2 linked regions of the Cricetulus griseus genome follow. The protein of the gene in region 2 interacts with the protein of the main gene of each other region in a pairwise test. Links are inferred from orthologs where the notes say so. Each region holds a gene or a part of one and is shown on either strand. Other genes may lie near its edges. The genes, in order: Bex3 and Ccdc116.

The links.
Region 1: the proteins of Ccdc116 (region 2) and Bex3 interact in binary tests that used the Homo sapiens proteins (3 or more experiments, as listed by UniProt). The two-hybrid records come from large-scale screens. The link is inferred for Cricetulus griseus from reciprocal best matches to the Homo sapiens genes CCDC116 and BEX3.

The regions. Positions count from the first base shown.
Region 1 is NC_048604.1:44,092,641-44,098,515, forward strand, and holds Bex3 (protein BEX3), read right to left. Parts: upstream 3,011-5,875; 5' UTR 2,851-3,010; intron 2,510-2,850; 5' UTR 2,427-2,509; intron 2,049-2,426; 5' UTR 2,021-2,048; coding exon 1,676-2,020; 3' UTR 1,428-1,675; downstream 1-1,427. UniProt on the Homo sapiens protein: May be a signaling adapter molecule involved in NGFR/p75NTR-mediated apoptosis induced by NGF. Plays a role in zinc-triggered neuronal death.
Region 2 is NC_048597.1:72,177,886-72,184,443, reverse strand, and holds the start of Ccdc116 (coiled-coil domain-containing protein 116), read right to left. Parts: upstream 4,346-6,558; 5' UTR 4,247-4,345; coding exon 4,142-4,246; intron 3,185-4,141; coding exon 2,648-3,184; intron 2,546-2,647; coding exon 1,955-2,545; intron 612-1,954; coding exon 1-611.

The sequences.
Region 1 (5,875 bases), on a different chromosome or scaffold from region 2:
CTAGTGGGAGCTCACTGACTCCAGACTGACACAGGGGTGGGGGATCCTGCATAGGACCAAACTAGGCCCTCTGAATGTGGGTGACAGTTGTGTGGCTTGGGCAGTCTGTTGAGCTGCTCACAGTGGAACCAGGATTTATCTCTAGTGCATGAGCTAGAGACAATTCTCCCTATGGAAGGATACTCTCACAGCCTAGATACAAGGCCTCAGTACTGCCTTAAAGAGGTGTGTGTGCACCAGACTTCCTTGACTCCCCACGGGAAACCTTACCCTCTCTGAGGACTGAATGGGGTGGAGTGGGGTGAAGATGGGGCGAACAGGAGGAGGGAGGGAGTGGGAACTGGGATTGGTATGTAAAATGAGAAAAGATTGGCTTTAAATTTTAAACAAGTGAAAAAAAGAGCTCACAGCGGCATTTATGTTTTGGTATGGATGGGACAAACAGGATGCAGCCAGAGAATGCCTGTTCCCCAATGAAACTGATGTTTCTAGGAAGTCCATTAAACTGGGGGAGGGTGGGGGGGCAGACCTGCTGAGAGCTGCTTTAAGGGAAATCCATGCAGGGTAGAACCACCATAAAGCTGTTAGCCTATTTGTGTTCTGGAGGTTTACAGTAATGCAGCTCTGGGCATAACCCTCAAAGACATCTGCTATCTATTGTGCTAGGCCCCACTGCACCCATGCCAGAGCTTTTTAAATGGGAACACAAAAATAATACCAGAAAGGGCTACTTTCTTAAGAACCATAGGGATTGAATCCACCTAGATAAATATGTCAAGTTATAAAGGCATTTCCACACTATCATACCGAAGTCACTACATACTTTAAACAAATTAGATTTAGCTATGCAGAGGACTGCAGGCATGTCATCCCCATTACAGAAAACAGGAATCAGAAGGAGATTTTTGCCTAAATCATATGCCTGTAAGCAGAGAAGTGCAATTGCAACATACAAATGACATGGAGGAACACACCTCTTTTTCCTGTATGGAATTGGGAGAATGGGCAAGGACTGAGGATTCCCCTCAGTTCTCCCCAACTATTTGGTAAGGGCTGGAGGCCTGGGCTTATTGAATGCCGGCTAACAAGTAGGGAAAAACCTAAGCCAGCAGATCCCCACACCTGATCTCATTTATTCCACACCTTTGCAAAACTCCACTCACCACTACGTCACAGAAGAGACTACAGGACACTCTTGAGAAATTGTATTTATGAGGATTTATGCCTTAACTTTGTTGAGCAAATATATACCTGTAATAAATTCATAACATCACTGAAAAAGTTTATGAAACTCCAAACAAAAGGAAAATTATATGCATGTGCCCCCGCCCCCGCCCCATCCCCAATACTGTTGAATTTCAGAATTTTTGTGGTTCATTTCTTATGTAAGTATGTATGCTTTAAGGAGACGATAATAAATATTCAGATTGCTTTTCAGTTGCTTTATTTACTTTACATTTTCCATGCAAATGGGCAACACTGTATTGTTGACAGAAATGTACACTGAGTGGGAAGGCAATCTCCAGTTAGAGAAGCTGGCAACACAAAAACCCACCTGGCACATGGAAATAACACAAGGCTCACCACAAAGATTAGTAAAGGCATTGTCAGGAAAATGCAAGGAATAGGAATACATTGGGAATCACAGTATGAATCTCATGGAAAATGGCTGAAGTCAAGGCATAAGGCAGAATTCATCGTGGTGATCATGGTAATTAGAGAGCTCCCCCATAAGAATGCGCAGACAATTTCTCAACTGTAGCTCCCTAAGTTTTCTCCTGATTTCTCTCATCTCCTCCATGAACATTTCCATATCATCTCCATCTCCACCCAACCCATCATGAATCTGCCTATTGGGTATGGCCCATCGAAAGTTAGGGGCAAGCCGGCGAGCCTGTCCTCTTCGGTTGTGGTTGTTTGCTGCAGGCTGGTGGCCATCACCTCCTCCCAAAGGGCGATCTTCTTGTCCATTCTGCAGGGGCTGATCCATTTCTTCGTTTTCCTGGTGGATATTTGCCATGATGAGATTTTGTTTTCTGGTTGTTATTCTTTGAACACAAGTAAGACAGGGCAAGGAAAGAAACTGAATCCTTGGTGCACTGACCAGCAATATTCCGAGACTAACAACAAAAGTTTTCATTATCATTTTATTTCCCCCCACATCTTAAGAGTCTCCAGGCAACCTTTAGGGAGCGTCCATTTCGAGCCCCTCCCCCCAGCTCTCTTTTCCCTCCCTCCTCCAAAGCCCACCATTTTTTATTTCCCAGGATCCTTTCCCTGAGCTCTGCAGGCACCAAAATGGAGGACTGAGATGGAGAGTAGGATGAGGGGGGGGGGTCTCAGTGGGATCCCAGTCAGGGCTTTCCCGTATGCTCCTCCAGCCGAACCCTCCCACCCCCCCCGACACACACTACCCCTGAACCGACCTGGGCCTATCCCGTGCCGCGTAGTCCTCTTCTCAATTGTCGCTGCGAGACGCTCCGGCTCCGCCGCGACTCTGCTACTAGACCTGCAACAGGGTGGGATGGGAGCGACTCAGCGCGGAGCTCAGTACCGCCCCCCGCCCCCCGCCCATCCCCCTACCTGGGCGCCCGCAATCTCTATGAGCCAGTGGCTCCCTTCGCCGCTCTCCAATGCCAGGTCTAGCATTTTTTTTCCCGCTAGCAGGCCCAACCAGCCCTTCCCAGAGACCCCCGCCATGCCCTTCCACAAGCAAGGCGCCCCTTCCCGGACGCAGCCACTGTTCTCTTTTCCGTGCAGAAAGCCGCGCGGCCGCTGCACGGTCCTACAGAGCGCTCCGGAGCATCCGGAGGCTGTCGTCCTCAGGGCCGCTGCGTGCGGGCCTCTTACCTGCTCCGCTCGCCCAGGGCCCGATGCCAGCCCGCCCTGCGCAGGGAAGCACCGAGCTGGTGGCCAGACACAAGTGACGACTGCACCCAAGGCTGCGTCGCTCTGCAGCCCCAGGTCACGTGAGGGCCCCGCGTCACCGCCAAGCTCGCTCCCCAGCTCAGGAGGCCAGTGCGACAGGAGGCCCCGCCTCCACCTCCCCGCCGCAAGCGAGCACCTCAGGCCCCACCCTCTACTCATCCAGATCCTCGCCAATCTGAAGACCCACAAGTGGCATCACCGTCTGGAGGTTGGACTTCTCCCTTCCCTGTTACCAGGGAGAGTCTGCACCATACTCCATCTCTGCTGCCCCCGCCCCCCATTATAGCCAGGTCTTGGCTTTAGCCTTCTTTGAGATTCCTCTCCACCTTAGCCAAATTTTTTCCCCAAGACCTCTCCCAACAGACACCTTGAAGTGGAGAATAGTGTAGATTGTACATACATCTCTTTACTTCCTTAAAAAGAAAAAAACCACACACACAACATGCTTGAGAAAATTGAAAATTATAAGGGTCACTCCTTTTTGGAATGTCAGGGATAGATCCTCTCTCTAGCCTCATAATTGCTGGACAAGCTCTCTTCTGAGCTGTATTCCCAGACCACTCCAGCCCTGCCACCACACACACTTTTTAAACTTAAAAAAAAAAAAAAATGAGGACAGTGCATGTCTATGTTGTTGGAGCTACACTTGAATTTTCAATCCTCCTGGGTCAGCCTCCCTTGTAGCTAAGGTTACAGGCCTGCACCACCAAGGCTGGTGAATTTTTCAGCTTTGAAAGAAATGCTTCATTCTGCAGAACGAAAAAAAAAAAAAACTTGTTTATGTTAACCTGTTTGTATCACACAGAAAATACATTCTCTAGGTTTTGAATGGCTGTTTTGTATTAGTCTGTTTCATTTTTTTTTTTATTTTAAGAAGGAGGGGCTCTTGCTGAATACAGCTAATGCTTTAACATTGATCTGAAATAGTTCCTTCAGAGAGGTCATAATTTTATGATTTCTTGTGAAAGGGTCTCACTATGTAGTCCCAGTTGACCTGGAACTCACTCTATCAAACAGAATGGCCTCAAACTTGGGGTGATCTTTCCTGCCTCTGCCTCCTTCCTCTGCCTCCCATGTGCCTGTATTATATGAGATTTCTCTGAGTCCATAATCCTCAGGAAAAAGAGCCATTTAATTCCTTGCTTTCCTCTCCAAACCTTTCAAACTACTCTCTAAATATTTAATGAACTGAGAAATAGAAAATAATCTAGAAATTTACTCCCCATACCTCCTACTCTGGTGTGAATGTTTCAAAAATATTAGAAATAAGCAAAAGATGAACGAAGCAATTGTATTTATACCAGAACTCATCCTGAATACAACTGTTTCTTCCACCCTGAAATCACTGTTTTTGTTTTTTGGCTATTTGTTTGTTTTGAGACTAAGTCTCACTCTGTGGCCCAGACAGGCTCGCCATTGAAATCATCTTCTTTTAAAAAATTATCACAGCTAGAAGATAGTTTTCTGGAAACATAGTGTTGTTATTTTCAATTTAATAACTTCATTATGAGAGGTAGCAGTTGGGCCCCACTATACTGTCTCCTCTCCTGATAAATAAGGCGGGATACTGGAGAAGTAAAATGCAAATGCTTGGTGTCTTAAGGTTTGTATATTACATCTAAAATTATGAGTTTAGAGATGTTACCATATAGCTCCAAAATCTCAAGTTGCAAAATCAGAGGCAGCAATTGCCTTTTAAAGTAATGCTCGTCATTTCTGGACTCTGTCTCACAGGTAACAAGACTCCTTTTTTAAAAAAGAAAAAGTTTAGACAAACTGATCAACTGGAACAAAGGAATAATTTACAAACTAAGAAGCCCATAAAGCCCAAACAGGTTCAGAGATGCTGTTCTTCAACATGGTCATGCCACATGTTTTGGACAGAAATGAGAATGTACAGAAAACAGAGCTGAGGTGGAGAGACAGCTTGATTGATTACAGCTTAGTACTTGCCTTTACTTTTAAGCATGGTGTGCTGGTGAGTTGTCAAGTTGATACAAACCAGAGTCACCTGGAAAGAGGGACCCTCAATTTAGGAATTGCCTCCATTAAATTGGACTGTAGGCAAGCTTGTGACCATTTTCTTGTTTAATGATTGGTGTTCAAGGACCAACCAAGCCAATTGTGGGCAGTGTTACCCCTGGACAGGTGGTCCTAGGTTCTATAAGAAAGCAGAGGAGAAAACCATGGAAAGCATGCCAGTAAACAGCACTCCTCCATTGTCTCACCCTCAGTTCTTGCCTTGGCTTAGCTCAGTGTTGGGTTATAACCTGTGAGACTAATAACCCATTCCCTCCCCCAAATTGTTTTGAGTCATGATGTTTTACCACAGCAACAAAACACAAATGAGAACATAGGGTTAGAACAGTTCCTCCCCAACTGCTGACTGAAGGTGGAATGCTGTGAATGGTTGAGAACGAGCTATTTGTTAGAAAAGTATACTCCAAACTTAGGCTATCATTTAAACTTTTTCTTAAGTTAATGCAGTTTGTTGTGTAATTGGCCAACTATAGGTCCATCTTTAGGTCAAATTTTGTTTAATTTAATATCAGAGAGACCACTGCCTGGTAGGATTCTGAATAGAAGCATGACCTAGGATATCAGACAAATCTGGGTTCAGATTTGGTCTGCTAGAGTAATGACCTGTAACTTTGAGTCAATTACGTATCAGATTTTGTGCTTCCATAGCAAAACATGGATTGTTTGAAGAATATGATTACATATAAGAATTCACCACAGAGCCTAGCAAATCAAAGATAAAACTGACTCATTATTTTTTACTACCATTAAGTTGCTTCTAACAATATTTTAAGAATATTAATTTGTGGTACTTTCCTTATCTACATTAACTTGTGAAATCCACATGTCTACTTTGCATACTTAATGATTTATGGTATTTTTGTACAAAGTAGGTGAATATTTGTTGAATGAAGGAAAGCATCCCTGC
Region 2 (6,558 bases):
TCCATATTTTCTATATCCTTGGACTTGGAGGATATGGTGCCCATACCAGCACTGGGCACTGAAGGGCTCCTGGGCATCTGTTCCTGGCCTACACCAGGATCCTGAGGGTTGAGCAGCTGGTGGATTGGCAACTCATGGCGGAGGGAGAAGGGGGGCTCTATACTCTGGTCCTGATTGGTGTTACCAGTATGCTCTGGTTGCACAGAGTGGGATTCTGTGCTAGGCCGAGAGGTGCCAGCACGGGAGACATTATGATGGGAGGCTCCTGGCCTGGAGGCACGGTGTATGGCCTGCCGTGCCAATTCAGCTTCTTCCAACTTTCGCAGAAGACAGGTCCAGTTGATGTCTGAGGACAGACGGATGTGGGTGCCCTTCACCTTCTTGAAGCCCAGAAAGATGTCCATGAGAACCTCAGTGACAGGAAAGGAGACGAAGCCAAGTTGACTATTGAGGCTTTCCTCAAACTTGTACTTGGAGATAAGCAAGGAGATTGCCTGCTCAATCAAAAAGTTAGTGAGTTCCTCAAACCAGGGGTTAGAGATGTAGGACAAGCTAGACACAGATGAGATGGACGGCAGAGGTTTCTTCTTCGGAAGCTTGGTGCTGGGGCTCTGTGCAACAAGCAAGGAGGAAAAAGGAGACATTTAGCTCTTGCTGCTGCCATTCCTCCTGCTGCCCTGTGAAAGTGCATTGTTATACCCTCCTTGGCAGCTGTACCAATCCTCCCCATTACAGACAGGGAAGCCACACACATTGCACTGGGATACAGACCTGCCACACCTGCTCTGCCACAACAGTCATTCCACAGGCCTCACCTGTCAGGTCTAGAGCAAAGCCTGCCAGCCTGGCCAGCCTGTGCTCCTGCAAGCTTGTGTGCAGAAGGAATTACATTTGAGCCCTGATGATGGTAGGTTCAGAGATGTCCATGACCTCCAAGGGTCAGGCCACCTATGTCTTCATACACATTTCCTGACCAATGTCCCCTTTACCGAGCAGAAAGACTAGTCATCGCTGGATTAGGATAGCTTGACCTGGCTTGACCCTAGAATAGAGTGGTGCTCTTGGCAAAGGTTCCTGTCCATAAGAGACATGTGGGAGAGACTCTGAGATTCACAAACAAAGCCAGGTGGTGTCGGCGCATGCCTTTAATCCCAGCACTTGATAGGCAGAGGCAGGGGAATCTTTGAGTCCATAGGTCAGTCTGGTCTACAGAGCAAATTCCAGGACAGCCAGTGCTACACAGAGAAACCCTGTTTTGGGTAGTTCAAACAATAATTTTTAAAAAATACCCAAATTGCAGGCATGGTGATGCATGCCTGTAATCCCAGCATTTGGGAAGTAAAGGCAAGGATATAATGAATTTGAGAGAGCATCCTGGACTACATGACATCCTGTCTCAGAAAAAAAAATTGAAGGGTAAAAATAGCCTTTATTAATCTTTGACATCCCCTGGGGAAATAGGTAGACTAGGCTTCTCCATCCCCAGAAGCTTGTATCTACTCCAGGAGATTTCTGCAATGCAAGGCAAGAGATCTTGCCCTTGGGCATCAACCAATGACAATGGCTACTAGATGTGGTGGGAAAAGGAGCCATTTCCCTGCAAATGTCCCTCTAAGACCTCCAGCCCTACTCTTGCAGCCAGCTCTGGACACATTGTAGTAGAATAAGGGGAGAAGCAGAATGGGGAGAACATAGGAAAATGGGTATGGGAGGGAAGAAGGCTGTGGGAGGCAAGACAATGCTGGATCGGGGGCCTGAGATGGCCCTGGCAGGAGGCCATCTCCACTCTAATACCAGGGTCAGGCAGGGTGAGGTGCAGGCCATGACGAGGATGAGGTAGCTGATTGTACCTTGGGGCCAAAGTTGATTTCTGTAATTTGGGATCAGAGTCAGGGAACTCCTGCATGGAGTGGAATGAGGGGCTAGGGACATTAGGCACCTGTGCAGGTGTCACCTTGAGCCTGAATTTGGTAGTCATCTGGGCATTAGACATGGAGGGGGAGTCCCGTCTGCCCTTGCTTTTCCTGCGAGATGTCTTAGGGCTGGAGACTGTGGTGGGAGAATCAGAAGGCTCCTCCCCATCCCTGCTGTTGGGTTTGGACTCGTTCTGCTGCAGAAGATCATAGTCCCCAGGCATCACTGGGGTGGGATCTGAGTCAACAGGGAAGAGGGGGAAGCCATTATGGCGGCAGGCATGGCTGAGCTTGTCTACCGCCTGGCTGACTACACGCTGCAGGGCAGGAAAGAGACGATGCTCAGCCAGGAAGTCCAGGGTACGATGGGGCTCCCTGAGTGAACAATACACAGGCAGGTTGAACGATGCTGGCTGGTTCAGCAGTGACTTTATCTCCTTGGTCAACTCTTCTTTGAGGAAAATCATCTCCTGTTCTCCAAGTCCCAATGTTTCAGGGGTGGCTGAGTTGGAGCCCAAAAGCCCAGAGAACCAAGACAGGGGCTGCTCTCGGGTCCACTGACTGCTGGTCTGGCTGTCCAGTGAATCCCACGGTAGAGAATCCCTCTGGGGGCAGGAATGATTCAGGCCTTTCTGCAAAAGAGAGGGGAAGGCTGAGGTGTTCAGCCAGGTATAACCCTAGCCCTAAGCTCAGGCCCACCCTATGCTAGCCTTAGCCATGGCAACAGATCTCACCCCTTTGTTCTCAAGTCGCAGTAGCCTCTTGAGGTTTTTCTCAAGCAGGAGTTTGTCCCTCATAGGTGGCAGTGAGCCTATGCCACGGGGACCAGGAGCAGTGTCCTGGTTATGGGAGCCCAGCCAGCCAGCTGAAATGCTGCTGTGGGAGTCGGACATGGAGCTGGAGCAAGATGGGTAATTGTTTGGGTGCCCAGCACACAGCGTGGGCCGAGCATGGTGTCGATGCACAGTGCGTCTGGCACGAGTCCGCCTATCACTTGGCGCCTCCAGCGGGTCTTGTATGTCCACCAGTGGCACTCCGGCCTCCGTCTTGGTGGCAGCCAAATGCTCTGTTGCCTTCTCCACCACTGTCTGCAAGCTGTCCAGTACCTGACCCTCTGTCAGGAAATCCAGGAAGGTGCCAAACACCTGAGGGGGCCTAAGATTTTGCTGTTGGCCCTGGTGTTCTGAGTATCGGTACATTGATGGTAGGTGCGGCACATGTCCAGACTTGAAGGTTGGCTCCCTTCCTGGCAACCGGTGCTTCTTGGGCAGCTGCATCTGAACAGACAGGCTTGTCATAGCAGGCAGGATGCTCTGCAAGGGGTAGGGGCTATCTCTGGAGTGCCCCTAGGGTGCTATTGAGGGCTGGGTGGGTTTGAGCAATGGAAAAGACTTTTTCCTTTTTTTAAGTTTGTTGGTGCTGGGGGTTGAACCCAGGGTCTTGAACATGCTCTGCAAATGTTCAACCACTGAATTGCATTTAAACATTTTTAACATTTACTTGTGGCTATGTGTGTACGTGTGTGGGTATATGTGTGCCTCAGTGGACAGTGGAGGTTAAAGGACAACTGGTTGTAATTGGTTCTCTCCTACTCATGTGGATCTTGAGGATTCACTCAGCCCATCAGCCTTGAGACCAAATGCCTTCACTTACTGAGACATCTTACCAGCTCTGAATTACACTAAAAGTCAGGTAATCCTGGGTTTGAATTCCAGCTCTGCTACCTTCAGGCTGGGTGATAGTGCTCAGAGCAGCCCTTCTTCGGGACTTCTTTGCAAAGTAGGATATTACTAAAGTTGGCCTGAAGGTCCCCAATCCTATATTTCATATATGCTAGGCCTATCTGGGAGCCTGAAAATGGAAACCTGTGTTCATGGTATGAAAGGGCAATTGTGAGAACCATCTTCCCTCTCTGCCTCCTCCTGCCTCTAGTACAAATTTGCACTGTCTTCTCTGCTCTGCTACCTTGAGGACTTGAAACTGCTTTTCCACCTTGAGTCCCCAAACTGACTCCATGCTCCTTCTCAGGGCTCCTAGCCCACCCAAGAACTACCTGAGGGCCAAGGAGAATAGGGTGTGAAAGAATGATCAGGGCGTAGCAAGATGGCTTAAGGGGAGTCAAAGCTACAACAAGGGTGTCTCCAGCTGACCCAGTGAGATCAACTGGAAATGAGAAAGCAGTGGAAAGTGGCCCAGACACTAATGTCGGGTCAGCTAGACATACTTACCCGAGCCATGTAGGCGTTGTGACCACCTTCATCGTCAGCCAGATATCCTGCCTGGTGGTTGTGGTGGTGGTTGTGGTGGTGGTGGTGGTGGTGGTACCTTGCCATGATGTGGGTAATTAAATTTGTGTTTTGCTTCCTTTCTCAGGTTCCACAGCACAGATGCAGACTCCTCTGAATAGGGCGGGGAGGGGTAGTAAAGGTAGATCCGGGCCTCCATGGGTCCCTCACTCCTGTACCCTATGTCCTTCAGACATCCCACCCTTCCCCTGCTGGGACCCACCAAACATCTGCGGACAGTCCCAAGTGGTTGCCTTCAGTTTGCAACTGTCTGGGACGGGGGTGGGGGTGGGGTGTCCAAAATTCCTTCTTTCAGACCAGAGGCGCCCTGGAGCTCCAACCTGCTTACCAGAGTCTTCTCTGTGCGTGCTTCTCGGGGTTCACTGGGTCAGCAGCACCCTATTAAGGACTGCCGCACAGTGCCCTGGAATGCCACTCCCCCGCACAGCCTCTCAGCGAGCTCATTTACATACTTTGTTCTGATTGGTCAGAATCTTGTCTCTCGTTCATTATCTTCCCACAATGGTTTGGGGTGGGGCCCACATTGGCTCCTCCCCAACCTGGCTGGCTTTTTCTGTCACGCAGGCTAAGCAGTGCTTGGGGATCTTTAGAGGTCTGACTTACTCTGCCAAGAGGTCTGAATCTGGGTCTTGTTTCTCTAATCCTCAGGGTGAAAGTCATAGCCTCCACTTATGCCACAAACACCTTTCTCAGCTCATCCCTGGTCGCTGCACAGACTTGGACCTACGACTCTGTTGGCCTCCTTCCAGGGTTTCTTTCATCCAGTGTAGACTAGCCAGCATCTTCCTTCTGAGACTTTCTTTTTGGAAGCCGTGAAGAGTCCCGGTTTTCCACACAGACCTAGCTTCACTTCCTGTCCCTGTTTTATGGTATTGTTTTTGCTGATATGATTCAGCCTCTCAATACTGTCTCTAAACTGAGCTGAGCATCCTTCCACAGATGAGTATTACATTATGTATATGTATATTGGTTTTTTTGAGACAGGATTTCTCTTTGTAGTCCTGGCTGTCCTAGAACTCACTCTGTAGACCAGGCTGGCCTTGATCTCAGAGATCTGCCTGCCTCTGCCTCCTGAGTGCTGGGATTAAAGGTTCGACACTACCACCCAGCTACATAAAATATTCTTTCAATACACATTGCACCTTATGGAAACTCCATATAAACTTACCTCTACCTTTTTCTTTCCTCCTTCATTCTAGAAGCTTGTCATTCCCAACAGATTCACAAACCTGTCCCCCACTGACACATTGTTTCTTTCTTGTCTAACTGCTGGTACTTTCTTAGTGCAGGAATCAAAGCAGTGAGCCCTAATTTCTAATGACCCTGTTCCTGATACAATATGTGCTTAGTAGTTTCCTCTTCTCCATCTGTGGTTTCAGGGCCCAGGCCCTCAAGGTCTCTGGCCTTTCCAAGAGCAGTCTCCCAGAGGGACACAGTGGCTGGATGACACCTGATGGTTCAACAGTCACCATGACTGGACACAGCAGTGTTACACCAGGAACTTGGCTGAAGGGTTCTCTGAGGCCTCCAACCCTTACAAAGCATCATCAGGTACTGTTAATGATTAAACTGTACTCTTTCCCCTCTGCCTGTGATCCAGGGGGTCAGTCAGGATGGAGGGAACCAGAATAGGTCAGGCTCCAACCTGTAGAGAAGTTCCTGCTTTACTTCTCTGGTGAATCTTCCACTGCCTTGGCTATGAAACAAACAAAATTACCAATATCACAGGCTTGACCCACGTAACACAGGTTCTACAAGGAGAAACCAAGACAGGCTGGCAGAGTGCTTGCCTAACATGTATGAAGTCTTGGGTTTAGTTCCCTGCACCACATAAACCAGAAGCTACTTGAATGAATAGTGAGGTCAGCCTGGGATACATAAAACTTCCAAAACAATATCAAGACAGCCACATTACCAAGCAAACACTGGCAGTCACCATGGTGACTATTGGTAAGTCATGGGTAAGAAAACTTTACTGGGAGCTGGACATTGGTGGCACACACCTTTAATCCCAGCACTCGGGAGGCAGAGGCAGGTGCATCTCTGTGAGTTCGAGGCCAACCTGGTCTACAGAGTAAGTTCTAGGAGAAGAAGAAGAAGAAGAAGAAGAAGAAGAAGAAGAAGAAGAAGAAGAAGAAGAAGAAGAAGAAGAAACAACTACTTTACTACTTTACTGGGCAAAGAGCAAAAGTGAGGCAAAAGTTACCTGAAGCTCAGGGTGGAAATGGGCTAACACTTTCTCCAGTGTGGCCACTGGTTTGCATGATTATTTTCTTATTATGTAGAGCTTTTAGGGCCAGGCAGTGGTGGTGCATGCTGAAGCTGAGGCAGATGGAAGG